Linked DNA regions of Stegostoma tigrinum. The protein of the gene in region 1 purifies or fractionates together with the protein of each later gene. This does not show direct contact. Links are inferred from orthologs where the notes say so. Each region holds a gene or a part of one and is shown in the gene's direction. Other genes may lie near its edges.

Region 1 (7,090 bases):
TCGCTTTGTCCAAACTAAAATGCATAAAAAGCCAGGTGCTTTCGCTTATAGGGAAGGTGACGCCCTAGTGGCATTATCACTGAACTCTAAACCTAGAGACCCAGATAATGTTCTGGGGACCCAGGTTCGAATCCCGCCACAGCAGATGGTGGAATTTGAATTCAATAAAACACCTGGAATTAACAGTTGGCAGTCTGAAGGGTATACCAGCAGCTAGCCAAATAGAACAAAGAAAATTACAGCACAGGAACAGGCCCCTCGGCCCCTCCAAAACGCACTGATCCAGATCCTCTAAGCCTGTCAGCTATTTTACAAGGATCTGTATCCCTCTACTTCCTGCTCATTCATGTATCTGTCTAGACACATCTTAAAAGACGCTAACGTGTCTGCGTCTACCACCTCCACTGGCAACGTGTACCAGGCACCCACCACCCTCTGTGTAAAGAACTTTCCACGCATATCTCCCTTAAAAACTTTCCTCCTCTCACTTTGAACTCATGACCCCTTGTAATTGAGTTCCCCACTCTGGGAAAAAGCTTCTTGCTATCCACCCTGTCTATACCCCTCATGATTTTGTAGACCTCAATCAGGTCCCTACTCAATCTCCGTCTTTCTAATGAAAATAATCCTAATCTACTCAACCTCACTTCATAGCTAGCACCCTCCATACCAGGCAACATCCTGGTGAACCTCCTCTGCACCCTCTCCAAAGCATCCACATCCTTTTGGTAATGTGACGACCAGAACTGTACACAGTACTCCAAATGTGGCCGAATCAAAGTCCTATACAACTGCAACATGACCTGCCAACTCTTGTACTCAATACCCTGCCCAATGAAGGAAAGCATGCCATATGCCTTCCTGACCACCCTATTTACTTGCATTGTCACCTTCAGGGAACAATGGACCTGAACACCCAGATCTCTCTGTTCATCCATTTTCCCGAGGACTTTTCCATTTACTGTATAGTTCACTCTTGAATTAGATCTTCCAAAATGCATCACCTCGCATTTGCCCGGATTGAACTCCATCTGCCATTTATCTGCCCAACTCTCCAGTCTATCTATATTCTGCTGTAATTTCTGACAGTCCCGTTCACTATCAGCTACTCCACCAATCTTAGTGTCATCAGCAAACTTGCTGATCAGACCACCTACACCTTCCTCCAAATCATTTACATATATCACAAACAACAGTGGTCCCAGCACAGATCCCTGTGGAACACCACTGGTTACAGGTCTCCAATTTGAGACACCCCCTTCCACTATAAATGTGTCTGATAGGGACAACGTAGAGAGAGAACTTTACTCTGTATCTAACCCCATGCTGTAGCTGTCCCAGGAGTGTTTATTGGGGGATGACTGTGAATCCATTGTCAATTGTTGGGAAAAACCCATCTGGCTCACTAATGCCGTTTAGGGAAGGAAACTGCCAGCCTTACCTAGTCTGGCCTACACGTGACTCCAGACCCACAGCAATGTGGTTGACTCTAAACTGACCTCTAGGCAATTAGGGATGGACTATAAATATGGCTGAGCCAGCGACACCCACATTCAATGAATAAAAAAAATTTAAAAGCCACGCAACAGCAAAACACTCAAATAGCAAAGAAACAAAACCTGGAAGTGCCTGGGAAAGTCACTTTCTGTTTTTATTTCAGCTTCAACTATATAACTTCCAGGAAATATCTTCAAAATAAAACCAGAAAAAATCCCAAAGCCTTTTGAGTGATCTATTTACAGAAGGGGAAAGCCCAGGTGTCACTTCTGCATTACAGATGGACCAATCCTTCAGACACAGGCACTCAAAATGAACCTCAACAGCGCAAGTGCCTTCATACCACCACCTGATTGTCTCTAAGGGGGAGATGCCGTGTTGAGCATGATCAGATCATTAATCCTGGTTTTCCAATGCCTCCGCGGCACCTCCCCTCATTCTGTAATTGCCCCCAGACTCACAACCCTCCAAATACATGCTCCTCTCAGCCTGATCTGTTGGTCATTCTCACACAGTACCACACCAGGGCCATGCCTTCAGATTCCCAGGCAGCAAACTCTAGCTTTGGAATTGCACTCTCCTTGCCTTCCCACCTTACTTTCCTCATCCCAAACCGGCCTCTCTCACCAAACTTCCATCGTTGTAATCTAAATTCTCCTCACATGGCCAGATGACCCGGCTTTGTTTCATCTGCTTCCCCCAAATACTCAGGCAGTCCATCAGAACCAGGGTAACTTGTCTGAACTGGTTCCAAGGTGTTAGGCTCGTCAGTCCCACACTCAGCTGTCCTTACACAGTCTGATCTGAACAGGGGGAAACCAGACCCACAGCCAATTGTTTTGGAGGGAGCGAGGCGGCATACTTAACACTGAAAATGGCCCAGACTGCAGACCCACAGCAATGTGGCTGACTCTTAGCTGCCCTCCAGGCCATTAGGGATGGGAAACAGAGATAATGGGAACTGCAGAAAAAGGGTCTGAAGAACGGTCTATGCCTGAAACGTCAGCTTTTGCGCTCCTGAGGTGCTGCTTGGCCTGCTGTGTTCATCCAGCCCCACACTTTGTTATCAGCGATGGGAAATAAATGCTCCCTAGGCAGTGACACCCACATGAAGAGACCAAGGATGGGCATGTGAGGTGGGGGTGGGGGGCGTGACGATGAGGTGAAATGGGTGATGACCAGGAGGTTAGGTTGGCTGTTACGAGCCAGGTTAAGGTGCTTGGCGAAACAGTCACCAAGTGTACATTTGGTCTCACCAACAGAGAGAAGGCCACATCGAGAGCACTGAATGCATAGACTAGGTTGTGGGAGATACAGGTGAAGCTCTGTCTCACCTGGAAGGACCGTCTGGGGCCACAGTGGGAGTGGTTTGTGGGCAGGTGTTGCATCTATTACAGTTACAAGGGAAGGTATTGGGTCGGAGGGGTTGGTGGGTAAGGGTGACTGGAAGTCGGTCATGTCTGGGGCGGGGCGGGGGTTAGGGAAGATCGGAAGTGGGTCATGCCGTGGTGGGGGGGGGTTGAGGAAGTGTGACCGGAAGTGGTTCATGCCATGGTGGGGGGGGGTGTTGAGGAAGTGTGACCGGAAGTGGGTCATGCTGTGGTGGGGAGGGAGGGGGTTGAGGAAGTGTGACTGGAAGTGGGTCATGCCATGGTGGCGGGGGAGTTGAGGAAGTGTGACCGGAAGTGGGTCATGCCATGGTGGGGGGGGGGTGTTGAGGAAGTGTGACCGGAAGTGGGTCATGCCATGGTGGGGGGGGGTGTTGAGGAAGTGTGACCGGAAGTGGGTCATGCTGTGGTGGGGGGGTTGAGGAAGTGTGACCGGAAGTGGGTCATGCCATGGTGGGGAGGGAGGGGGTTGAGGAAGTGTGACTGGAACTGGGTTATGCCATGGTGGGGGGGGGGGGTGTTGAGGAAGTGTGACCAGAAGTGGGTCATGCTGTGGTGGGGGGGGGGTGTTGAGGAAGTGTGACCAGAAGTGGGTCATGCTGTGGTGGGGGGGGGGGCGGATGAGCAAGTGTGACTGGAAGTGGGTCATGCCGTGGTGGGGCGGGGTTGAGGAAGGGTGACCGGAAGTGGGTGGTGCCTGCGGGGAGGGGGTGACCGGAAGTGGGTCGTGCCTGCGGGGAGCGGGGTGACCGGAAGTGGGTCGTGCCTGGGTGCGTGGAGGGGCAGGAAATGAGGAGAAACCCTGGGGATAGGGCGGAGGGACACACAATAATAATGAAAGCCGGCAGATCGGTAACACACGAAACAACTACTCCCCTGACCGGTACATCTTAACGGACTTCTTTCACTCCCACCTCCCCTCATAGAGAAAGCAAACATACGCCCTGCACCCCCGTCCCCCAGATGGGAAAATACACGCGGTTTTACACAGTTAGAGATGTAACACCTACAAGGTAACCGTGGTTAGCCTCTGTGAGTGGGCCGCACGGCGGGGGCGGGGCTAAGGCTAGGCGTCAGCAAGGGAAGGGGGCGTGGCTAGTGTGGGGGCGGGAAGCACTGCGACGTCAGACTTACGTGGGCGGGGCGTGGAATGGGCGGGGTCAGAGCATGTCACGTGGTGTTCCCCGCCCCGCCGAGACCAATCAGAGAGGGCGCCGGGCCGGACGGATCCGTTGATTGGGCTCCGCTCGTCCTTCTGCGCGTTTCCTTTTCGCTCTCGACCGGCGGCTATTATTTTTGACAGCCAGCCCTTTTGTTTAAAAAAAAGAAAACCGCTCGATCCTATTCGATCGGTAACTATTTAACGCGGCGGCCTGAGCGCTTCCGACTACCTCTGTCGTGCGCGGAATCGACGAGCGTTGCGCGGGCGGCTTGGTCCTGCGGCGCGCTGCCTGACGGTAAATGTAGTCGCGGGGTTTGATGGCGGTGCACCCGGAAGTGACGCATTCTCTCCCCACCCCCTTCCGCCCCCATTCTCGGGAAGTCGGGCCACGTTTGATGGTGGGTCTTTCCCCCTCGCTCCTCACATCGACTGAAATCCCACGCACGGCCTACAGGCTGCCGAGCCCGAGGTTAGACATCACCGCCCTTATCGCCTGGTTTGTTTCAATGCGGTGTTTTGTTGCTGTGAGCTTCTCCCCCCCTCCCCCATCCCCCCTCCCTCTCTGGGGTAGAGGCCAGGTATGGCTGGTTCTGCTGTTGCATGTCACAAGGAGGAGGACGAGAGATCTTCTGCACGTCGCTCCATGTTTTATGATGAGCCTGCAGGTTGGGGGGCTGGGGCTTAGTGGGGTTTAGTGGGTAGTGGGGTTTAGTGGGTAGTGGGGTTTAGTGGGGCGTAGTGGGGTTTAGTGGGTAGTGGGGTTTAGTGGGTAGTGGGGTTTAGTGGGTAGTGGGGCGTAGTGGGGTTTAGTGGGTAGTGGGGTTTAGTGGGGCGTAGTGGGGTTTAGTGGGTAGTGGGGCGTAGTGGGGTTTAGTGGGTAGTGGGGTTTAGTGGGTAGTGGGGTTTAGTGGGTAGTGGGGCGTAGTGGGGTTTAGTGGGTAGTGGGGCGTAGTGGGGTCTAGTGAGTAGTGGGGCGTAGTGGGGTTCAGTGGGGCGTAGTGGGGTTTAGTGGGTAGTGGGGTTTAGTGGGTAGTGGGGCGTAGTGGGGTCTAGTGAGTAGTGGGGCGTAGTGGGGTTCAGTGGGGCAGTGGGGTGTAGTGGGGTTTAGTGGGTAGTGGGGTTTAGTGGGTAGTGGGGTTTAGTGGGTAGTGGGGCGTAGTGGGGTGTAGTGGGGTTTAGTGGGTAGTGGGGTGTAGTGGGGCGTAGTGGGGTGTAGTGGGGTTTAGTGGGTAGTGGGGGGTAGTGGGGTTTAGTGGGTAGTGGGGGGTAGTGGGGTTTAGTGGGTAGTGGGGCGTAGTGGGGTTTAGTGGGTAGTGGGGCGTAGTGGGGTTTAGTGGGTAGTGGGGCGTAGTGGGGTTTAGTGGGTAGTGGGGCGTAGTGGGGTTTAGTGGGTAGTGGGGCGTAGTGGGGTTTAGTGGGTAGTGGGGCGTAGTGGGGTTTAGTGGGTAGTGGGGCTCAGTGGGGCGTAGTGCGGTTTAGTGCGTAGTGGGGCTCAGTGGGGTTTAGTGGGTAGTGGGGCGTAGTGCGGTTTAGTGCGTAGTGGGGCTCAGTGGGGTTTAGTGGGTAGTGGGGCTCAGTGGGGCGTAGTGGGGTGTAGTGGGGTTTAGTGGGTAGTGGGGTTTAGTGGGGCGTGGGGTTTAGTGGGGCGTAGTGGGTAGTGGGGCGTAGTGGGTAGTGGGGCGTAGTGGGGCGTAGTGGGTAGTGGGGCGTAGTGGGGCGTAGTGGGTAGTGGGGCGTAGTGGGGTGTAGTGGGGCGTAGTGGGGTTTAGTGGGTAGTGGGGCGTAGTGGGGTTTAGTGGGTAGTGGGGCGTAGTGGGGTTTAGTGGGTAGTGGGGCGTAGTGGGGTTTAGTGGGTAGTGGGGCGTAGTGGGGTGTAGTGGGGTTTAGTGGGTAGTGGGGTTTAGTGGGTAGTGGGGTTTAGTGGGTAGTGGGGTGTAGTGGGGTTTAGTGGGGCGTAGTGGGGTTTAGTGGGGCGTAGTGGGGTTTAGTGGGTAGTGGGGTGTAGTGGGGTTTAGTGGGGCGTAGTGGGGTTTAGTGGGTAGTGGGGTTTAGTGGGTAGTGGGGTTTAGTGGGTAGTGGGGTTTAGTGGGTAGTGGGGTTTAGTGGGTAGTGGGGCGTAGTGGGGTTTAGTGGGTAGTGGGGCGTAGTGGGGTCTAGTGAGTAGTGGGGCGTAGTGGGGTTTAGTGGGTAGTGGGGTTTAGTGGGTAGTGGGGCGTAGTGGGGTCTAGTGAGTAGTGGGGCGTAGTGGGGTTCAGTGGGGCAGTGGGGTTCAGTGGGGCAGTGGGGTGTAGTGGGGTTCAGTGGGGCGTAGTGGGGTTTAGTGGGTAGTGGGGTTTAGTGGGTAGTGGGGCGTAGTGGGGTGTAGTGGGGTTTAGTGGGTAGTGGGGTGTAGTGGGGCGTAGTGGGGGGTAGTGGGGTTTAGTGGGTAGTGGGGGGTAGTGGGGTTTAGTGGGTAGTGGGGCGTAGTGGGGTTTAGTGGGTAGTGGGGCGTAGTGGGGTTTAGTGGGTAGTGGGGCGTAGTGGGGTTTAGTGGGTAGTGGGGCGTAGTGGGGTTTAGTGGGTAGTGGGGCGTAGTGGGGTTTAGTGGGTAGTGGGGCGTAGTGGGGCTCAGTGGGGCGTAGTGCGGTTTAGTGGGGTTTAGTGGGTAGTGGGGCGTAGTGCGGTTTAGTGCGTAGTGGGGCTCAGTGGGGTTTAGTGGGTAGTGGGGCTCAGTGGGGCGTAGTGGGGTGTAGTGGGGTTTAGTGGGTAGTGGGGTTTAGTGGGTAGTGGGGTTTAGTGGGTAGTGGGGTTTAGTGGGGCGTGGGGTTTAGTGGGGCGTGGGGTTTAGTGGGGCGTGGGGTTTAGTGGGGCGTAGTGGGTAGTGGGGCGTAGTGGGTAGTGGGGCGTAGTGGGTAGTGGGGCGTAGTGGGTAGTGGGGCGTAGTGGGGCGTAGTGGGGTTTAGTGGGTAGTGGGGCGTAGTGGGGTTTAGTGGGTAGTGGGGCGTAGTGGGGTTTAGTGGGTAGTGGGGCGTAGTGGGGTTTAGTGGGTAGTGGGGCGTAGTGG
Region 2 (7,005 bases), on another chromosome or scaffold:
ATCTGTGGGAACGACCCCAAAGTCCAGTGAATTTTAGTAAATAATTACTCGTCCATTTGTTATTTCCCCTATCACCTCCTTTAGTACTCTGGGATGCATTTCATCAAGGCTAGGAGACTTGGCTGCCTTTATTCCCAATAGCTTGCCCAGCCCTGCCTCCTTAGTGATAATGATATTTCCTAGGTCCTCACCAGCTATAACCTTCTTGCCATTAGTTTTCAGCATGTTATTTGTGTCTTCTAATGTGAAGACCGACATGAAATAACTGTTTAATGTCTCAGCTATTTCCTCATTCCCAGTTATTAAATTAGCCTTCTTATCCTCTAAAGGACCAATGTTTACCTTTGCCACTCTTTATATAAATATGTAAATCGCAGAACTTTTGCTGCCTGTTTTTATATTCTGAGCTAGTTTACTCTCATAATATGTCTTTCTTTTCTTTCTAACTTTTTTTGTGGCTTTCTGTTGGCCTTTAAAGACTTCCCAGTCTACTAATTTCCCACTAGTCTTTGCTTTTTTGTTTTTTTTTCAATCTGGTACTCTCCTTTATTTCCTTAGACATCCATGGCTGGCTCTCTCTTTTCTTACAGTTCTTCCTTATCACTGGAATATACTTCTGCTGAGCACTGTGAAAAATCGTTTTGAAATTCCCTCACTGTTCCTCAATTGAACCACCATAAAGTTTTTGCTCCCATTCATATCCCTCATATCCCTCCTCCCTCATTCTTTCGTAGTCTTCTTTGTTTAAGCACAGGACATAAATACTGGATTTAACCTTCTCACGCTCCATCTGTATTTTAAATTCGACCGTACTGTGATCGCTCCTTCTGAGAGGATCCCTAACTGTTGAGATCATTAATTATCCCTATCTCATTTCACAGGACTAGATCTAGGATGGCTTGGGCCCTCGTAGGTTCCATTAAATATTGTTCAAGGAAATTATCGTGAACGCATTTTACGAACCCCTCCTCAATTTACTGCCATGACTTACCTGGTTTGAGCAATCGATATGTAGATTAAAATCCCTCATGATAATTGCTATACCAGTTTTACATGCATTAGCTATTTTTCTGCCTGCCCCACCACGATGCCATTATTTGGTGGCCTATAGACCACACCGAACAGTGACGTCTCCCTGCTATTCCTAATTTCTACCCAAATGGATTTGTATGTTTTATTCAGTAGAACCTATATCATCTCGCACTACTGCCCTGATATCATCCTTAAAAATCAGAGCAACACCACCTCCCTTGTGTTCCAGTTTGTCTTTCCAAACAGTTTGATACCCCTGGATATTTAACTCCAGTCATGATCATCCTGTAACCATGTCTCTGTAATGGCCACTAAATCATACACATTTGCCATGATGTGCGCCATCAACTCATCCACCTTATTTCGAATGCTCCGAGCATTCAGATAAAGTGCCCTTGTGACAGTTTTTGCACCTTCTTTTTGGGTCCTGTTACCTCCATTACTAACAGCTCTTGAGTTCTCCTTCCTTTTAACTTTTTTTCTCTAATTTTCAATGGAGCTGAAGCGCTCTTGTCACCTGCCAGCCTGCTGCTTTGCCTTACATTGTTATTCTCCTTCTACGCTCACTTCTCCCTTCCCCCCGACTTACTAGTTTAAAGTCCTATTGACCACCCTATGTACCCCTTTCACCAGAACACTGCACCTGGCCCTGTTCAAGTGGAGTCCATCCCATCGGTATCGATCCCTCCTGTCCCAGAACTGACGCCAGTGCCCCATGTTAAGGAAACCCTCTTTCCCGCACCACTCTTTCAGCCCCAAGTTTACTTCCCTGATCCTCTCCTTGCCTCCCTATGCCAATTTGCATGTTGCTCAGGCAGCAATCCAGAGATTATGACCCTCGAAGACCTTTTTTTAGAAATCTTTTTCCTAGCTTTTCATAATCCACAAACAGGTCTTTTTTCCTAGTTCTACCTATGTTGTTGGTACCTCCGTGGACCATAACAACTGGATCCTCCCCCTCCCTCTCTGGTATCCTCTCAAGCCTGTCAGAGGTGTCTCGCACTCTGGCACTGGGCAGGCAACACACCATGCGGGATTCTCTATCCTGCTCACAAAGGATACTGTCTATCCTCTTGATGGAATCCCCTACAACTACAGTCTATCCTTTAGCTCCCTCCCTCTTGAATGGCCTCCTGGGCCATGGTACCATGGTCAATTGACTCATCCTTCCTGCAGCCCTGCTCCTCATCCATGCAGGAAGCAAGTGCCTCATACCGGTGGGACAATGTCAAGGCCCTGGCTCCTGTGTTCCTGTCTGCAGGGACCCTCTACCTGCCTCACTCACAGTCACACACTGCTGTCCCTGCCTGCCAATTGAATTAACATTAGTTAATCTACCAGGTGTGACTGCCTTCTGGAACTCAGAATCCAGGTATTTCTCTCCCTCCCAGATGTGCTGCAGTGTTTGGAGTTCGGATTCCACCTCATCAATTTTGAGCTGAGGTTCCTCAAGCAGCCAACACCTGCTGATGTGGTCACTGCTGTTCTCAATGGGATCAGCTAGCTCCCACATCATATAGCTAGAATGCATCACCTGACCTGCTTCTCTAGTTAGTTAATTATTTAAAATTAATTAGTTTTTTTTTAAGTTTTGCAGTGTTTTCTGCACCAGTAAGTTTACTCCGTCATATACTCAAACAGACTCTGGCTTTGCCTTCCGACCCGTTCTGGACAAAAACCGGAAACAAGACTGCCCACTATGACAAACCAGAACATGTAAATTCAGAGCGGGGCAGAACAACAGCGCTTCAATGGAGGCTACACAGCACTGCTGATGTCACCTAGAATGGAGATGAAACGTTTGCACGAAAACCAGTCAGCTCCGAGAAACAACAAACCAACAACTCCAACTGCAACCTGAGCTACAGTCCTTTGTTAAAACATTATTCCAGGGTGGAAATGCCAGATACGGGGGGGCATAGGTTTAAGGTGAGTGGGGGAGTTTTAAAGGAGATTGGAGGCAAGTTGTTTTTTTGCACAGAGGGTGGTAGATGCCTGGAACATGCTGCCAGGGGAGGTGGTAGAAGCAGGTGCAATAGCTATGTTTAAGAAGCATTTAGACGCATGAATAGGCAGGAAATAGAGGCATCCAGCTCTACACCTTGTTATATCAGGGAATAGAAAGATATGCACCATGTGGGGAGAGATAATGGAAACTGCAGATGCTGGACAATCCAAGATAATAAAATGTGAGGCTGGATGAACACAGCAGGCCAAGCAGCATCTCAGGAGCACAAAAGCTGACGTTTCGGGCCTAGAGACTCTCTGATGAAGGGTCTAGGCCCGAAACGTCAGCTTTTGTGCTCCTGAGATGCTGCTTGGCCTGCTGTGTTCATCCAGCCTCACATTTTATTATCTATGCACCATGTGGGTTCAGTTGAGGATGGCATCGTGGTCGCAGACATATGGGGCCAGAGGACCTGCTCCTGTGCTGTGATAACAAAGTGTGGAGCTGGATGAACACAGCAGGCCAAGCAGCATCTCAGGAGCACAAAAGCTGGCGTTTCGGGCCTCGACCCACTGCCCTCTCTCTGAACAAGGGTCGAGGCCCGAAACGTCAGCTCTTGTGCTCCTGAGATGCTGCTTGGCCTGCTGTGTTCATCCAGCCTCACACTTTGTTATCTCGTATTCTCCAGCATCTGCAGTTCTCACTATCCTTGCTCCTGTGCGGTATTCGATGTTCAACAAAATTATCGTTTAAAAATAGGAAAGTAAACGTCACGATTAATTTCCAGGGCTACCTCACGTCCTTGCATGCTGTTAGGGCTAACGCGAGCAAAATGATTTTAGTAGAAGCGTTTTAATGCAATTTGGAAATTTTAAAGGATGAAGTTTTTTTAAGTGTTGTAGGTTCGAGAGTTCTGGATTGATTTCGAAGCCGTTTTTGTAAGAAAGTGAAAACGCTTCATCTAAAATGGTGGTAATGGCTGGGGTATTGAAAAGGCCGGAACGACGACGTTGCTATAGGAACTTGGAGATCTCGGAGAATTGGTTCCGGATTGCACGCCGGGGACCTTTCACTTCTGGAACCGGTGGAGCGTCCGCCATTTTGTGAGAAGCGGCGGGCGGAGGAGGTAGACCCAGGCCGGGACCATGTCGTCGGTCCGGCCCCCAAATGCTTTCTGCACCTTATCTCCGCTCCAGTACCGCGTTCCTGGACGCTCAATTGAGATTTAGAATTAGGGTTTCGAGAGGCCGGAAGCCCGAGGGCAGTTTAAAACCCTGTGTGTTCCGAACCGGCGTCTCCGCCATTTTGCAGAGGCAGTAGGCGGTTGATGTGAGTGGAGAGATAAAGAGGCCGCTGCGAGTCGCGACATTCGTTTCCCTGTTTTATTTTCTGTGTCGTCGTCGTTGTCCGCGGAAGGACCGCCCCCTCGCCCATGAGTGACGCGCGCTGCGCCGGTAAACCCGCAGCGCGCAAAAGCGGAAGTGAGCTTGTTTTGGAAAAGCGAGAGAAATCCAGACTTCAAACGGTAAGAAACCGAGAGAGAAAAGGAGAGGGGTAAAAGAGAACAGAATGGAGAAGAAGAAAAGGGTGGAGGCGGAGGATGGACCTCTGAAATGAAGGGGCTGTCTTGTGAGGGAAGGTTAGGCCTAATGGAGTTTAAAAGAATGAGAGGTGATCTGATGCTGGTCGTGTGTAATATTGGTGAGGTTTGAGAGGACGTTTCCTTTCGCGAGGGAAAACTCGGGGTCACAGTTTTAGTATATAGGATCTTTTATTTAAGACTTAGATGAGGAAGAACTTCTGAGGATCAGCTTCACTTTCCCAGGGCAGCATTGGAGTCTGAGGCATTGAATATATTCAGGGCTCAAATAGGATAACTTTTTGGTTGACTAAAGGTTATGCAGGGAGGCAGGAAAGTTTATTTAACGCTGCAATCAGATGAATATTCATGATATTGAATGATGTAGTAGATGCGATGGGATATGTGCCCTACTATTTTATTTTGTATAGAATCCCTACAGTGTGGAAACAGGTAGTTTAGCCCAACAAGTTCACATTGCCCCTCAGAACATCCCAACCAGATCCATCCTTCGTAACCCACCTAATCTACATATCCCTGAACACTAGAGGCAATTTAGCATTGCCAATCCACCTAGCCTGCATACCTTTGGTCTGTAGGAGGAAGCCAGAGGAAACCAAATCAGACGCTGGGAGAATGTGTAAGCTCCACACTGTCAACTGAGGGCCCTGGCACTGTGAGGCAGCAGTGCTAACCACTGAGCCACTGTTTGTAGTGATATGTCATCATGGAAGGAGGAGAAATGGGGAAGGAAGATGTGAATATCACTGAGAAAGTAAAAACTGGAAGGGGCTATGTACAGAAACTGATGAATGAGTTGATGAAGTAAAAGCCACATAAGAGGAAGATTATTGAGATACACATAAGCAAGCAGAAATGGGTATATAAATACGATCTGACACAAACAAACAACATGTATTAGCTCCAAGACCCAATTGACAGTAGTAACATGATATGAATTAACCCGTTTTTAAAAGTCGTTTGTGTTAGGTGATATCCTTTTTTGTGATGACTTGGGGCTTTTAATGTCCAACTAAAAGTCTTTGGGATTTACACTATAAACTAACGAAAGAAGGTCTGCTGGTAGATTAGCAGAAGACCAGATAAATAGTGAAAAGAGAAATTGATGCAGTGATTCAGAAAAACTAAAGGGACAGGAGACAAAGCAAGTCAAAGATCTGTGTTTGGGAGCAGGATAGGAAGAACTTAGAAGAGATGGACATTGGCAGTAATGAGAGAGACAGAGACAGACAGAAAGGGAAGATTGACATGCAGGTGAAAAGACATCAAGAATGGGTATATAAATAAGGCAGAATCTTCACACACCAGTAGTTTGTCATCTATTCTCTATTTAAGTTACGTCGCTGGTAAACTTTAAGGTTGCAGGCATCTTTTATTTCCACTCCGGTTTTATTCTCCCGTTCGACCTTTGTTTGAAGGATTAATTGTGATCTCAGTGCATCTTTTGCATCACTCCTGGCAGGTTTTTCCTAACAATGGATGCACTTAGGAAGGATGTGAGGAGGTTTCAACAGGGTAGTGCCAATGACAGGGACGTTCAGTATTTGGAGATGCTGAGATGTTTCTCAAATTTTATTAACACTCTGCCCTCAATTAGGAGTGGGTGATGTCCTTAATGAGTACTTCGCATTGGTGTTCATCAAGGAGAAGGGATAGATGATAAGTTTAGGGAGGATCTGTTAGTATTATGGGGCAGGTTGATGTTAAGGTGATGTTGGACGCCTTAAAAACATTTAAGATACATAAGGCCCCAGGGCCTGATGAGATCTATGCCAGGATAATGAGGGAGACAAGGAAGGAGATTGCTAGGGCCTTGATGGAGACTTTTCTATCCCCTTTAGCCACAGGTGAATAGTTAATGTTCCTTTGTCTAAGAACAGCAAGAGGGATAATTCAGGAAATGATAGGGTAACAAGCCTTATCATGATAGGGGAATTATTAGAGAACATACTCAGGAACAGGATTTACCCCACATTTAGCAAAGAATTGACTTAATAGGGATAGTCAGCGTGTGTTTGTGTAGGGAAGGTCTTGACTCTCAAAGTTGATTGACGACTTCCTCAAAAAACTGAAAAGTGACTGAGGGTAGAGCAGTGGATTTTGTCAATATAGACTTTACTAAAGTATTGGACAGGACCCCTCACAATAAACAGATCCATAGATTAAGTAATGCCAGATCCATGGTAAGTTGAGAAGCTGGATACAAAATTAGCTTGGTCATAGAAGACAGAGGGTAGCTTGGAGGGTTTTTTCCTGACTAGACTGTGGCTAGTGGTGTTCTGCAAGGATCACTGTGTGATATATCCAAATGATTTGGATGAAAATACATATGGTCTTATTAATAACTGTGCTGCCCCAAAAATAGTTGACTTGTGGATATTGAGGGATGTTCTTAAAGGATGCAGCAGGATGAGGTTGTAGACTT
Region 3 (6,870 bases), on another chromosome or scaffold:
AACATGCAGACTTAAGCTAAGTACACAAGCCAACAAGAGTATGCATTGAGTGGCCATATCATGAAGACTCGAGAACACAGAACACTAAAGCACAGTACAGGCCCTTCAGCCCTCAATGTTGCACTGACCTATATATGGAATGCTCTGCCCCAGAAGGTAGTGGAGGCCAAGTCTCTGGGTAGTTTCAAGAAAGAGATAGATAGAGATCTTAAAGATATTGGAATCAAGGGTTATGGGGATAAGGCAGGAACAGGATACTGATTGTGGATGATCAGCCATGATCATAATGAATGGTGGTGCTGGTTTGAAGGGCCGAATGGCCTACTATTGTTTAAACCAAACTGAAGCCCATCTAACCGACACTATTCCATTATCCTCCATATGTTTATCCAATGACCATTTAAACGTCCTTGGCGAGTCTACTACTGTTGCAGGCAGGGCATTCCACACCCTTACTTCTGTCTGAGTAAAGAACCTACCTCTGACATCTGTCCGAAATCTATCACCCCTCAATTTAAAGCTATGCCCCCTCATACTAGCCATCCAGGGAAAAAGGCTCTCACCATCCATCCTATCTAATCCTCTGATCATCTTGTATGTCTCTATTTGGTCACCTCTTAAACTTCTTCTCTGTATCGAAAACATCAAGTCCCAAACATCAAGTCCCTCAGCCGTTCCTCATAAGACCTTCCCTCCGTACCAGGCAACATCCTGGTAAATCTTCCCTGCATCCTTTCCAATGCTTCCACATCCTTCCTATAATACAGCGACCAGAATTGTACGCAATACTCCAAGTGCGGCCACACCAGAGTTTTGTACAGCTGCAACATGACCTCATGGCTCCAAAATTCAATCCCTCTACCAATAAAGCCTAATCTTCTAATGCAATCCCCTCCCTAGCTTCCCAGAGAATCCTAGGATACATCCCATCCGGCCCAGGGGACTTATCAATTTTTAAACCTTCCAGAATTACTAACACCATCTCCTTGTGAACCTCAATCCCATCTAGTCTAATAGCCTGTATCTCCCTAATCTCCTCGATAACATTGTCTTCGACTCTGACCATTAACATCTCTAGAAAAGACAATCACCGTTAATAAGCCGCAAGGCAGATCAGAATTTCAATAGTCCAGGCAGAATAGCTCACCTAATGAATTGTTAAAGTCTTTGCGCTCCCTAAAATCAAATGATTAGAGCACAATGCAACACTCCCAACTTGACAGAAATGTCACAGATGCCACTCAACACCATCTAAGGTTAAGTAGCCTACAAAATTTGCATTTCACCCAACAACCTAAATATCTAACTCCTTTGTCAGGTCATTCAAGTTTTCAGCAGCACCTCTCAAATCCATAATTGACATCAACTAAAAAGGGCAGATGTTTGGGACCTTCAGGTTGTTTCATTATTTCTCCATCACCAAGTTCAGTATTTACATTTTGGTTAAAAACAGAAAGTATATTAATAAAGTTAACCCTTTGTTACAAAATCATACACAACAAATTAAGAAAGGTGGGATACCTTTGCTTTTAGGTGTTTTCTTTGAAGGCGTATCCGAAAAGAGCTGCACGTTATCAGGATCGCCTCCCTCCTCTTCTATTACCTGTTTTGGTAGCAACAAATGCAAGTTTTCTTTTCCCAAAAACTCAATCAACTCGTTGAAAAATAATATTAAGAATTGAAACTAAATGAGGAAAAGTTGCATATTTCTGAAAATGGACATGACATGTTATAAATGCTTATACTTTACAATCAAATAGCGTCAACTAAAAGGTTTTCACTGCAACTGGTTAGTCTTAAAGGTAAATATTGGGCTTCAACCCTGTGATTTTCTTAAAACACCCAAAATAAAATTCTGCGCGTTAACTATGTAACAAATCCAGTGCAAATGTCCGACTTGGAAACCAACCAACGTGAATTTTATTTATCTTTGCTTACCCAATAAAAAGCACCCCAATGAATGAACAAAATACTATTTGGTAGTCAAAGAAGAAGATTAATTTATTTAACGGCTCCAGGTTATAAATTTTCAACAAAAGTTATGAAATAAAGCATACCACTTCAAGTGTTTATTCATTCAACTTCACAGATCATGAGAATCAGAAAGTGGGTAGCTTTTGGTTGTGTTTCTTTAAAAAAGTAAAAGCTATCAACAACTAAAAGGCGTCAATTAAACGTTCATTGGATTAAAAAGCAGTCTTTTCGCACGTTTAATCATACTGAAAACCAACAAAAGGCAAAGGATCTTTTAATCAAGATCTCAAGCACTTTTACCATGCAGTGAATATTTAATTCGCAAAGATTTATTTGTCACCGGTCAGCAAGACATTTAACCCAGTGAGCGCCGAAGCAGCCATTAAAATTTGCGCAGAGCAAAGTGGGTTAGGCTTCATCCGAGGCCTAAAGGTGACGGCGGTAAACCCCAGCGCCGACTTCCTTCCCTCTCCTTGACTTTGGTGATTTCTCACACCTGTTTTAACCTGGCGATCAGAACGGTTTTAACGCCACTAATGTCGAGATTCCGCCGCTTGAGTTCGGATTTAAGATCTACGACACGCAAGTCTGTGATGCGCCGAGCTTCATTCGGACTAGGAGCGGCAGCCATTTCAGGCGTCTTCACGGAGCAAGCAGCAGCTCGAGCGGCGTAGCTCCACCCCCAACAGGAGCCCGGATGACCAAGCTCCACCACCCCCCCGGGAAGGAGACTCAGCCGAAGTCCGCCCCGGATACCTAGCCCAGCCCTCATCCGTCAGGGATTCCAACCGTGACGGGAGCACGGATGGCATTGTCCCACCCCCACCCCACATGCCCGGATGGCCAAGGACCCGGATGGCTGCTGGAGCGCGGTGGTAGCCTGCTTTGCGGCGGGAATAGCGTGTTGTGGAGTTAGAGCGGGAACGCAGATTATCACTAAATGAAAGCACGAAAGGCACTTTGAGCACCAGGCTTCTTAACTATAAATGTTTCACAAACCATTTTCAATTAAACGATTCTGAAGATAATTTGAGAAACACGATGCGTCAAATTTCTCTGTGTTGCCTCCTTGCTTGCCCTCTTAAAAATGTTGAGTATTTCCAACATTTAGTGGTGTCGTGGATGGTCACGAATGAGGGAAAAAAACACTTCAATGACTTAATCGAAACGTTGAAACGATTTAAAAATGACTTCCTCAACCTTTCTTTAATTGTAATCAATGCTCAACAACCAAAAAACATAAGTTGAAAAAACTCAACAGGTCTGGTAGCATCTGCGGAGCGAAAGGAAACGTTACGTTTCGTGTCCAGTGATCTTTCTTCGGAATCAACAACCAAAATCTCCTTGGGCCGCTTAATCTTTATAATCGAGGTCCCGAACGTCAAACTTTCCTGCTGCTTTGACCTCCTGTGTTCATCCAGCTTTACACCGTGTTATCTCAGACTCTCCAGCATCGGCGGTCCCTATTATCTTTGTAATCTTTATATCGTTTATGTTCGCACCAAACACCCAGGATTTTTAAGAGCATTATTAGTAGGCGCTATACAAAGGCAGGGCATTTGTTATGGTAGAAACTGGAAAAATTACGCATGCGCCGGAATTTCCCTATTTTCCTAAAATCGTGTTGTGGGAAGTCGGAAGACCCCTGGCGATAAACCAGCGGTGCAGGCGGGTCCGATTTCACCATCCCACAGGCGACAAACTTAGAGGCAAACGTGCTCCTTTTCGTACCATTGACGTTTTGGGAACGGCAAACAAAGCCGGTGCCGTAAAGCGTGCGCGATGCAGCCGTCAAGCGCCGGAAAGTAAAGGGCGGTCTGTGTCGTGGAAAGGAAAGGAAGCCGCAAAGCAGATGCGGGCTGTGTCGTGGAAAGGAAGGGAGGCCGCAAAGCAGATGCGGGCCGTGTCGTGAAGGTGGAGCTGCCCCGTCCGATGCATTGAGCAACCCCGGGCTGAGCAGCGAAGCTTCGTCGTTTGGGGGTTTCTGTAAACAAGAGGCTTAAAATCCTCCCAGAAATATCTGAATAAGGCCTTGTGGAAATAATGCGAGGCGGCCAGCACCTTACAGAAAAGCTTCGGTAAGCTCTTTTCCGAAATTATTCGCCAATATTTGGAAGTGTAAAAAATGTCTATCCTCTTTAATTTTAATTCACTCCCCCCGACTCCTCCCCGCAATCTTCTCTCCATTCGCGACCGTTTTCTTTTAAAAAAAGTCGTGATGAAGACCTGGCCTGGTGAGCGCCTTTCGAGCTGCTGACGTTTAGATGTTTGAGAGTGATCCCCCCGCCTTCCCAACAACATCAACAACTCCTCAACAGAATTTACAGAATAGGAAAGGGGGGGGGGGGGTGTTGCAGAAGTTTGAATCGTAACTGATCATTAGATAAATCTTACAATATTTTTTGCATTTTTCAAGGCGTAGTAAAATTTAGGTATCCAGCTGGTGGTTGCCGGGGAGCGATGTCGGATTCTCAACAGCAATTGAATGTCTGTTGATTGATTGAGAACCCTGCAGTGTACCGTATAGAGGAGGAGAAAGGTGTTTGGAGGGTGATTTCTGTCTGCATTTGCCTTATATACTAATTTTAACACCACAGCCAAGGTTTGACGATGGAAGGTATCAGTTTTAGTTTGGTGTTGCCCGTGATTATTCTAGTGCATACTTCAAATTAGTCTGTCAAAGCTTGACATTCAACATGTTCTTGTGTTTTTTTAAAAATTTTTTTTGCTTTGAACATTTTTCTCATTTTATACTTTGAAGTGTCTACCCTATGAAAAAAAACTTTTTAAAATACTTTACAAAGAACAGTTTGGGTTTTAGAGTCAGAGTTGAACCTCAAAGAAAGTACAGAAGTGCTTCTCAGGTCCAGTTTAAATTTTTGATTGTACTGTCAATAACAGGATTGTTTCTAAGTTTAATTTGTCATCACTAATATTTATTGTGACTGTAAGGTAGGTTTATGTCCTTTATGAGATGAAGAACAAAATATTTATAATTAGCAATCAGTTAATTTTGTGTGTGATGTAGTTCTGTGTATGAACAGTAATATTTATACTATTTTCAGAGGAGGAAGCAGGTCACAACCCAGGGGAATTGTGACATGGTTTGATGTTGAAGTACTATATGTACAGCTTTTTAGTAGGATATAATGGGTAACAGAAAATTAAGTTTGTTTGCATTAAAATCTGAAATTTGTTTGGCCTGTGTGCCACACAGCACCATGTGATATCAAAGATAATGAGAACTGCAGATGCTGGAGAATCTGAGATAACAAAAGTGTAGAGCTGGATGAACACAGCAGACCAAGCAGCATCTTAGGAGCACAAAAGCTGACATTTTGGGCCTAGACCCTTCATCAGAAAAGCTATGTCATATGTTTATTTGTGGCCTTCGGTAAACCAATCTGTTGTTTAAAAAAAAAACTGCTGAAGCAAATGTTTCACACACGGTTTTGTGTTTGTTTCAATGATTTTTTTTGTCAGGTAGAATTTGGTTTTGGCATGGATGTTGCAACTGTGTGGTATTTTGAATACTTAAGTGGTTACTTGAAGAGATCCAATTTTTATTTTCAGTTGTTTAACTGTCTTGTTTCAATATGGACTTTGAATCATAGAGTTTGAATCTATAAATTTTGAAGCTCTTTACAGAAGTGGAATAAAATAAAGCTTTCAAAGTTGCACTTAAGTTTTGATCTAAATCTGCCTTCAAGCTTTTTTTATTATTGTTGACTTTTTGTGAAGTCCCTGATCAGACAATACTAGAATGACTTTTTATTACCTTCAGTATCTTCAAAAGAAAAGTTAGCTTAGTACTTTTGGTGAGATATTTCATCAGAGCTGCTTTCTGCCTTGTGTCCAAGTTTTGGGAAATGTGTATTTTTCCACTTGTTGACTGACATGTTGTTTGTAACACTCCTGCTTTAATTTGATATCCAGTAGTTTTGTTTAATGTTTGTTTAATCAAATGCTCCCGAGCTCTGTTTTGTTAAGCTAGCCCAACAACAATTATTTTGAGCCAAGTTGTCTAATCCCTGTCTTGACACTTATAATTGGCAAGGATTTTTGGTTAATATTGTAGATGCCTTTAGCTGAGTGTATGAAGGACAAAGGAATAGAAGAACAGGCAGTTGAGGTTAAATGAGGCTAATGTGAAGCACAAACACCCGTATGGAAATGTTGACAATGACCTGTTTCGGTGCTGTAACTTCTCAGTGAATCATAGGATCTTGCTTGACTGGCTTGATTGTAGATTCCAGTTAGGGCAAGCGGTTGGTCTATCATTGTTTTCACCAGCCCGGTCTGCCAAGACAAAGGTTGGAGTTGTTCTTTATTTTCACGCTGGATTATTTGCATACTTGTGAATGTGTATTTTTGTTAGAGTCGTTACATATGAGGGATTCTGAATGTACATCTAATGATGCAGTAAAAATTGCTCCCAAAGTACAGGGTGCAGTGAAGCAGAGCAATAGCCACTGCCAGATTGCAAGCACCAGTTGTCCATTCGTGCAATCGCATCAACTTCCTTTATCAGTCTGCATTTTATCACTGGTTTGAGCAATCTGAGGAGAGATTGAATAATCAACTTTCTAAATTAACATTTGTGTCAGAATAATGACTGCAATAATTCAGATGTTGAATAATGTCTTGTTCTTCCACTAAGAGCAGGCCTGTTAGGATTTTCTACCAAAATATAATGTAATTGGGAGCCATCAGTCTTTAAAAGCCACAGCCTTTAATATGGAGAACAGTGGCTGGGTGCCTACAAGTTATTGCACACAGTTTGGGACTGCCCTGTGTATGCTGCACATCTGATTGCATCCTGTTCTCACTTGGATGGGGAGAGGAGACGGAGGGACAAACACTCATTTTAACAGGCACCAAATGGTTTTATTTGAG
Region 4 (7,795 bases), on another chromosome or scaffold:
GACCGTCAAATTCCTTGGAGTGAATGATAACCAACTACCTGTCCTGGGCTTTCCATGTAGAAGCAGCAGTCAAGAAGGCACAACAACACCTCTTCTTCCTCAGGAAGCTCAGGAAATGTGGCATGTCCATATCATCCCTCACCAACATCTACAGATGCACCTTTGAAAGCGTACTGTTCAGATGTATAATGACCCGGTATGGCAACTGCTCTGCCCAGGACTGTAAGAAACTGCAGAAGGTGGTGTGCATATCCCAGACCATCACGGAAGCCACCATTCCATCCATGGGCTCCATTTACACAGCTCACTGCTGCAGAGAGGCTGCCAACATCGTCAAAGACCCATCACACCCCGATAATGATCTCCTTCAACATCGTCTTCCATCAGGCAGAAGATACAGAAGCCTGAATACATGCACGAACAGGTTCAGGAACAGCTTCTTCCCAGTCATTATCAGACTGATGAATGGACTTTCTAGTTTCAAATAACACTGATCCTGCTAAAATTGATCTCATCTAGCACACACCCCGTGCAATTTAACATGTGTGCCTCTGTCTAAGTCTTTTTGATCTGTACATTCTTTGCTTACTATGATCATTCATAAACAAAGCTTTTCATTGTATTTTGGTACGTGACAATAAATCCGTCAATCAATCATCTTGGCGAATCTCCTTTGCACGCCCTCCAATGCATTCGCATTCTTAGAGTCCACAACCCGTAGAAACAGCGACTCTTTGTCTAACAATGTCTCTCATTTAGAGTCAGGGTATAGAGATTTACAGCATGGAAACGCACCTTTCTGCCCAAGTTGTCCATGCCGACTGGATATCCTCACTTCATCTGGTCCCATTTGCCAGCATTTGGCTAATTTTCCTTGAAATGTTATCTATTCATACACCCATCCAGATGCCTTTAAAATGCTGTAATTGTACCAGCCTCCACCATCCCCTCTGGCAGCTCATTCCATACATACACCAACATCTGATTGAAAAAGTTGCCTCTTAGGTCCCTTTTAAATCTTTCCCATCTAACCTTAAACCCTATTCCCTCTAGTTTTGGACTCGGCTACCTAGGGAAAAAGACATTGACTATTCACCCTATCCATGCTCCTCATGATTTTATAAACACCAATAAGGTCACTCTTCACCCTCTGACGCTCCAGGGAAAATAACCCCAGGCTATTCAGCCTCTCCCTTCAGCTCAAACCCACCAACCCTGGTAACATGCTTGTAAATCTTTTCTGAACCCTTCCAAGTTTCAGGACATCCTTCCTATTAGCATGGAGACCAGAATTGAATGCAGTATTCCAAAACTGGCCTAAGCAATGTCCTGTACCATGACCTTCCAACTCCTAGGGCTGGCAAAATGATCCTCTGTGTTGATAAATTGAACAATTTTGATCAAATCATCCTTTAACTGTTTAACTTTTCATTAGAAATATTTTTACTCAGGGAGTACCAAGAAAGTGCCACCCATGAAGTGGTTAATGCAAATAGCACCAGATATACTAACCCAACTGTCTTGTAAATAAACTCTTAAAAAACAAGAACGTTATCAGGAATAATAAAATGTGAGGCTGGATGAACACAGCAGGCCCAGCAGCATCTCAGGAGCACAAAAGCTGATGTTTCGGGCCTAGACCCTTCATCAGTTCCCATCATCACTAATACAACCTTATCAGAAGATTATTTAATCTCAAACAGATCAGAGGTCTTAAAACTTACTTCCAAAAGTATCTCACAAAATACAGAAATTCCTACTTGCTAACATCACATGTTCCACTATTTCCCACACAGCTAAGGAAGGTAAACTGCCAATTCATGTCACATCTGTAATATCAGCCCTATTTGGAATTATGGCTCCAAAAGCCCCATATTCAGTGTATCTTGGCTAGCTGAGTGCTCATAAATCAAAAGTTTTTAAAAAAATGCATAACCCATTGTACAAACTCACATTCTACCTCTCACCCTTCAGAAACTGTGCAGTCTGGTAGATTTAAGTCTCCAAATCTGCATCTAAAGTAAGAAAAACAGAATAGCCAGACTCAATGGGTCTCACTTCTTCCTCCGTGTTAGTGAATCTCTCTAGATTCAAGGGAAGCTGAATCTTGCTCTCTTTAACCAGAATTCTTCTTAAAATTAATGCTTCTCTTTCCAAACTTCCATCCCATTCCCCTCATCAAAGCAGTAAAAGAGCCTGAACTACAATTCCTAGGACAAGCTGCCATATGGTCAGGTTGGAGGGTTTTACCTACAAGAAGAGACTGAATAGGCTGGGACTATTTTCCCTGGAGTGTCAGAGGATGAGGAATGACCTTATAGAAGTTTATAAAGTTATGAGGGGAATAGACAGGGTGAGTAGCCAAGGTCTTTTCCCCAGAGTAGGGGAGTCCAAAACCATTTGGCATAGGTTTAAGGTGAGGGGGGAAAGATTTAAAAGGGACCTAAGGGACAACATTTTCAAACAGACGGTGGTGCATGCATGGAAGGAGCTGCCAGAGGATGTGGTGAAGGCTGGTACAATTGTAACATTTAAAAGACATATGGATGGGTGTATGAACAGGAAGGATTTAGAGGGATAAGGCCCAAATGTTGGCAAATGGGACTAGATAATTTAGGATCAGAGATAATGGGAACTGCAGGTGCTGGAGAATCCAAGATAACAAAGTGTGGGGCTGGATGAACACAGCAGGCCAAGCAGCATCTCAGGAGCACAAAAGCTGACGTTTCGGGCCTAGACCCTTCATCAGAGAGGGGGATGGAAAGAGGGTTCTGGAATAAATAGGGAGAGAGGGTGAGGCGGACTGAAGATGGAGAGAAAAGAAGATAGGTGGAGAGGAGAGTATAGGTGGGGAGGTAGGGAGATAATAGGTCAGTCCAGGGAAGATGGACAGGTCAAGGAGGTGGGATGAGGTTAGTAGGTAGGAAATGGAGGTGAGCTTGAGATGGGTGGAAGGGATGGGTGAGAGGAAGAACAGGTTAGGGAGGCAGAGACAGGCTGGGCTGGTTTTGGGATGCACTGGGGAGAGGGGGCGAACTGGGCTGGTTTTGGGATGCGGTGGGGGAAGGGGAGATTTTGAAGCTGGTGAAGTCCACATTGATACCATTGGGCTGCAAGGTTCCCAAGCGGAATATGAGTTGCTGTTCCTGCAACCTTCGGGTGGCATCCTTGTGGCACTGCAGGAGGCCCATGATGGACATGTCATCTGAAGAATGGGAGGGGGAGTAAAAATGGTTCGCGACTGGGAGGCGCAGTTGTTTATTGCGAACCGAGCGGAGGTGTTCTGCAAAGCGGTCCCCAAGCCTCCGCTTGGTTTCCCCAATGTAGAGGAAGCCATACCGGGGACAATGGATACAGTATACCACATTGGCGGATGTGCAGGTGAACCTCTGCTTAATATGGAAAGTCATCTTGGGGCCTGGAATGGGGGTGAGGGAGGAGGTGTGGGGGCAAGTGTAGCACTTCCTGCGGTTGCAGGGGAAGGTGCCGGGTGTGGTGGGGTTGGAGGGCAGTGTGGAGCGAACAAGGGAGTCACGGAGAGAGTGGTCCCTTGTTCGCTCCACACTGCCCTCCAACCCCACCACACCCGGCACCTTCCCCTGCAACCGCAGGAAGTGCTACACTTGCCCCCACACCTCCTCCCTCACCCCCATCCTAGGCCCCAATATGACCTTCCATGGGTCTAGGCCCGAAACGTCAGCTTTTGTGCTCCTGAGATGCTGTTGGGCCTGCTGTGTTCATCCAGCTCCACACTTCGTTATCTTGGTCTGTATCTGTGCTGTACAAGGTTACAGGGCCAATTTCCATTCTGTAATAAACTTTGTACCTAAAGTATAATAGTAAATTGTATGACTTTAAAAAAAAAGACATCTAGTTCTGTGTGCTTTAGGGAAGATAGAATCCCTGCAGCGTGGAAACTGGCCCTTTAGCCCAACAAGTCCACACTGACCCTTAGAGCATCCCACCCTGACCCATCCCCTTATAACCCACCTAATCTACAGACCCCTGATCACTATGGGCAATTTAGCTTAGCCAATCCACCTAACCCGTAACTTGGACTCTGGGAGGAAACCCATGCAGACAAGGGGAGAATGTGTAAACTCCACACAGACAGTCACCCAAGGGTGGAATTGAACCTGGGTCCCTGGCACTGTGAGGCAGCAGTGCTAACCACCGTGCCACCCTGCTGTGGAAGGAATGAAGGGAATATGGAAAAGGTCCACAAGAATGGTTCAAGGTTTGATGAAATTAATCATGAAAATGTATTGAAAAAGACCACCTTGGAGAAAGCAGGGAGGGGGTTTAATCCAAGCATTCAAAATCATGAGGCCTGAGCAGAGTCGTTTGGAAGGATTTTTTTCCCCAATTACGAAGAGATTGACAGTCAAAGCGACATGAGATAAAAAGTTCACACAGCAAGTGCTCAAGGTCTTAAGAACGTATGCAGTGTGGAGAACTCTTCAATACGGGGAAGAGGCAGGGCATGAAGTGAATTGCTTATTCCACGGACCAGAACAGACACGATGGGCCAAACGGCCTTCATTTACGTTGTAACAATTCAACGGTTCTGCTGCCGAGGCTCAGCGAACGCACGTAATGCCAAAAACGAAACACCTTGCGAAGCGTGGAACATCCTCGGGATTTTCCGTCACCGCTTACCCCGCCGCGAGGGTAGAGTTCCGGCTATTTCCGTCACCGATAGCCTTGTTGAGCCGAAGTCGCTCGGCTATTTCCGTTACCATCTTCGCCGAGATCGCTCGGTTGTTCCCGTCAGCGGCTCGGTACCGTCCCGAAGTCGCTCGGTTGTTTCCGTCAGCTGCTCTCGGTGTAGTGCCGAGGCGCTGTATTCGCTGAGTGGCCTGTGTGGCGACTGACTGACAGGAGCGACCGACCCTGGAGCTTCCACCCCAGGGACTCAGAACGGAGAGAGGTGAGTCGGAGGGTTGGACGATCACTAGGTCGGGGGTGAGGGAGGAAGGAGCAATGTCAGAGTCCGGCTAGTCCGATACTTTAGCACGGTACAGTTTGAGGCCTCAACCGCCTCCGTGACAGAGTAATCCAAAGGCCGCGGTTGCTTGCCGGTGGGAAACAAGCCCCGGAGCCGAGTGCCAGAGCCCGCAGGATGAGCTCGGGGTCGGGAAGAACTGTGGGAGATTCGGTGAGGAGGTGACTGGGATGAAGAGAGTCCTTGGTGGAGGCCTGGCTCTGGGTTGCAGCAGGCGTTTCGAGTGGGATACTGCAGAAACTCCAATCCCAGGCCTGTCACCTCATACCAAAATAAACAGGCCTCCCTTTTCACCCGTCGGCCCACTCAGATAACGTGGACGCCTCCAACTTGCAGCTGCAACCCCAAGGCACGGTGTTCCTGTTTTTCTCCGACTGGGATACATATTTAGCGTCTCTGTCTCAAATCTTTTTATGTAGGCTTTCTGTGTAAAGCCTCGCGATATACTTAAGGGGGCCTGTAATTGCTGTCTCGGGTGTAGGGGTGGCGCGGAGCGGGGCAAGAATGTGCTGAAACTTTATAAAGTTCTGGCAAAGTCTGGCAAGGAATGATGTTAAAGTCCTTGAGAGGATGCAGAGGAGATCCTCTAGAACTGTTGCAGGGACTCTAGGTACAGTTTTGGGTCAGTGAAGCTGAAGTTGTTCTTGTAACAAAGGAGACTGTGGAGAGATTCAAGCACAATAAATAGGAGTAGACCATTCAACTCCATAGCCCTCACCTCCCTGATATTTCAAAAGTCTGCCTAACTCCTCTTTAATGAATAAAGGCCCGATCTGGCTAATTTTGAAAAATTAACCCTTTTGTCCAATTAATCCAATGAAACACTTCTGAATCGCCTGCAATGCCAATTTTTTCTTAATTATGTGGATCACTTATGGGAAGCACCTCACAGCACCAGGGACCCAGGTTCAATTCCACCCTCAGGCAACTGTCTGTGTGGAGTTTGTGCATTCTCCCATGTCTGTGTGGGAGGAAACCCACAATCCAAAGATATGCAGGCTAGGTGGATTGGCCATGCTAAATTGCCCATTATGTTCAGGGATGTGTAGATTAGGGGGATGGGTCAGGGTGGGATGCTCTTAGCATTGGTTTGGACTTGTTGGGCCGACGGGCCTGTTTCCACACTAGGGATTCTATGGTATGATTCTCTATGAAAACTGTAGTAGTACTTCAGGTGAGGTCTTGCCAAATTTCTCTATGATGGTAACAAGACTTTCTTATTCTTAAATACCAAACACTAGCAGTAAAAGGCCAAAATTCCACCCACCACCCTAATTTGTGCCTGCATGCCTTTTGTATTTTATGCACAACATCATCCAGATTCTTATGGACCCCACATTTTGGAGTCTCCTTTTATTTAAATATTAGTCTGTCTTTTGAGTCGTGACCTTGCATCTTCCTAAACACAATCTGCCAAGTTATTGCTCACTCACTTACCTTATCTCTATCCCCTTGCTGATTTCTTATGTCCTCGTGGTAATATTTTTATGTTGATTGAAAATTTGGATTCATTACACCCTGTCCATTTCTCTGTGTCATTAATATAGATTATAAATAATAAAAGCTCTAGGACTGATCCTTGTAGTCCTCCACTTACTTACTTGTTTTCAGTGTTTTACCCAATCCATGCTGATACATTACCCTAACTTTTTTTGTGGCACTTTATCAAATGACTTCTGAATATCCAGCTGCATTAGATCTATCCTTTATCAAATTTTCCTCTATCAAATCCTCAGAGAGCTTAAACAGATTTGTCAAACTTGATTTCCCTTTCATAAAACCATGTGGACTCTGAATGCATTAAGCTTTTCTAAACGTTCAGCTATTTCTTCTGTAACGGACTCTAGCACTTTGACAGACGTTAGGCTAATTGGCCTATAGTTTGCAGCTTTCTGCCTCCACCTGGGCAACACAGTGGCTCAGTAGTTTGCACTGCTGCCTCAGTATCAGGTCCCTGGGTTAGATTCTACCATCACCGACTGTCTGTGTGTAGTTTGCACATATTCCCCATGTCTTGGGTTTCCTCTGGGTATTCTGATTTTCTCCCGTAGTCCAGAGATGTGCACGTTAGGTGGATTGGCCATGCTAAATTGTTCATAGTGTCCAGGGGCTTGTGGATTAGTCATGGGAAATGTGGGGTTGTAGGAATAGGGTAGCTGGGTGGCTCTATGTGGGATGGCCTTCCATGGGCCATTGTGAACTCAATGGGCTGAATGGTCTGCTTCCACACCATGGGAATTCTGGTGATTCTATGATTATCCTTTGCTTGAACAAGGGAGTCACATTAAGAGTTTTCTTATCCACTAAAATCTTCATAGAATCCACAGAGTTATGGACTATTTTGACTGCTGCCGCCATATCTCTGCAACCACCAGAACTGCAGATGCTGTAAATCAGGAACAAAAACAGAAGTTGTTGGAAGAGCTCAGCATGTCTGGCAGCATCTGTAAAGAAAATGTGAGAGTTAAAGTTTTGGGTCTGAGGAAGGGCCACTGGACCTGAAACATTAACTCTGATCTTATCTTCACAGATGCTTCCAGACATGCTGAACTTTTCCAGCAACTTCTGTTTTTGTCTCTGCAACCACGTCTGTTAAAACCCTTAAATGAAGGCCATCGGGACCTGGCGACCTTTCTGTTTTCAGTCCTATTAGTTTGTCAAATACTTTGTCCCTTCTGATAGAGGCTGTCACAAAACCTTTTCTCCTATTAGCACCTTACATAACTGGTATCTCTGGAATGTTTATAATGTACTCCATTGTGAAGAATAACATAAAATTATCGTTTAAAT

What was found.
Region 2: the proteins of csnk2b (region 1) and ark2n purify together in Homo sapiens (co-immunoprecipitation; 3 studies listed by BioGRID and IntAct, with this or other methods). This does not show direct contact. The link is inferred for Stegostoma tigrinum from reciprocal best matches to the Homo sapiens genes CSNK2B and ARK2N.
Region 3: the proteins of csnk2b (region 1) and rnf111 purify together in Homo sapiens (co-immunoprecipitation; 3 studies listed by BioGRID and IntAct, with this or other methods). This does not show direct contact. The link is inferred for Stegostoma tigrinum from reciprocal best matches to the Homo sapiens genes CSNK2B and RNF111.
Region 4: the proteins of csnk2b (region 1) and phrf1 purify together in Homo sapiens (affinity purification with mass spectrometry; 3 studies listed by BioGRID and IntAct, with this or other methods). This does not show direct contact. The link is inferred for Stegostoma tigrinum from reciprocal best matches to the Homo sapiens genes CSNK2B and PHRF1.

The regions. Positions count from the first base shown.
Region 1 is NC_081387.1:27,161,777-27,168,866, forward strand, and holds the start of csnk2b (casein kinase II subunit beta), read left to right. Parts: upstream 1-4,066; 5' UTR 4,067-4,237; exon of another isoform or gene 4,238-4,352; intron 4,353-4,383; exon of another isoform or gene 4,384-4,516; intron 4,517-7,090. UniProt on the Homo sapiens protein: Regulatory subunit of casein kinase II/CK2.
Region 2 is NC_081354.1:162,137,680-162,144,684, reverse strand, and holds the start of ark2n (uncharacterized protein C18orf25 homolog), read left to right. Parts: upstream 1-4,003; 5' UTR 4,004-4,505; intron 4,506-7,005. UniProt on the Homo sapiens protein: AMPK substrate important for exercise capacity and skeletal muscle function.
Region 3 is NC_081386.1:17,461,193-17,468,062, forward strand, and holds the start of rnf111 (E3 ubiquitin-protein ligase Arkadia), read left to right. Parts: upstream 1-3,848; 5' UTR 3,849-4,052; intron 4,053-6,870. Other genes in the region: sltm (SAFB-like transcription modulator), read right to left, coding at 1,522-1,603, 2,471-2,746. UniProt on the Homo sapiens protein: E3 ubiquitin-protein ligase. Required for mesoderm patterning during embryonic development. Acts as an enhancer of the transcriptional responses of the SMAD2/SMAD3 effectors, which are activated downstream of BMP.
Region 4 is NC_081370.1:35,569,748-35,577,542, reverse strand, and holds the start of phrf1 (PHD and RING finger domain-containing protein 1), read left to right. Parts: upstream 1-4,794; 5' UTR 4,795-4,930; intron 4,931-7,795.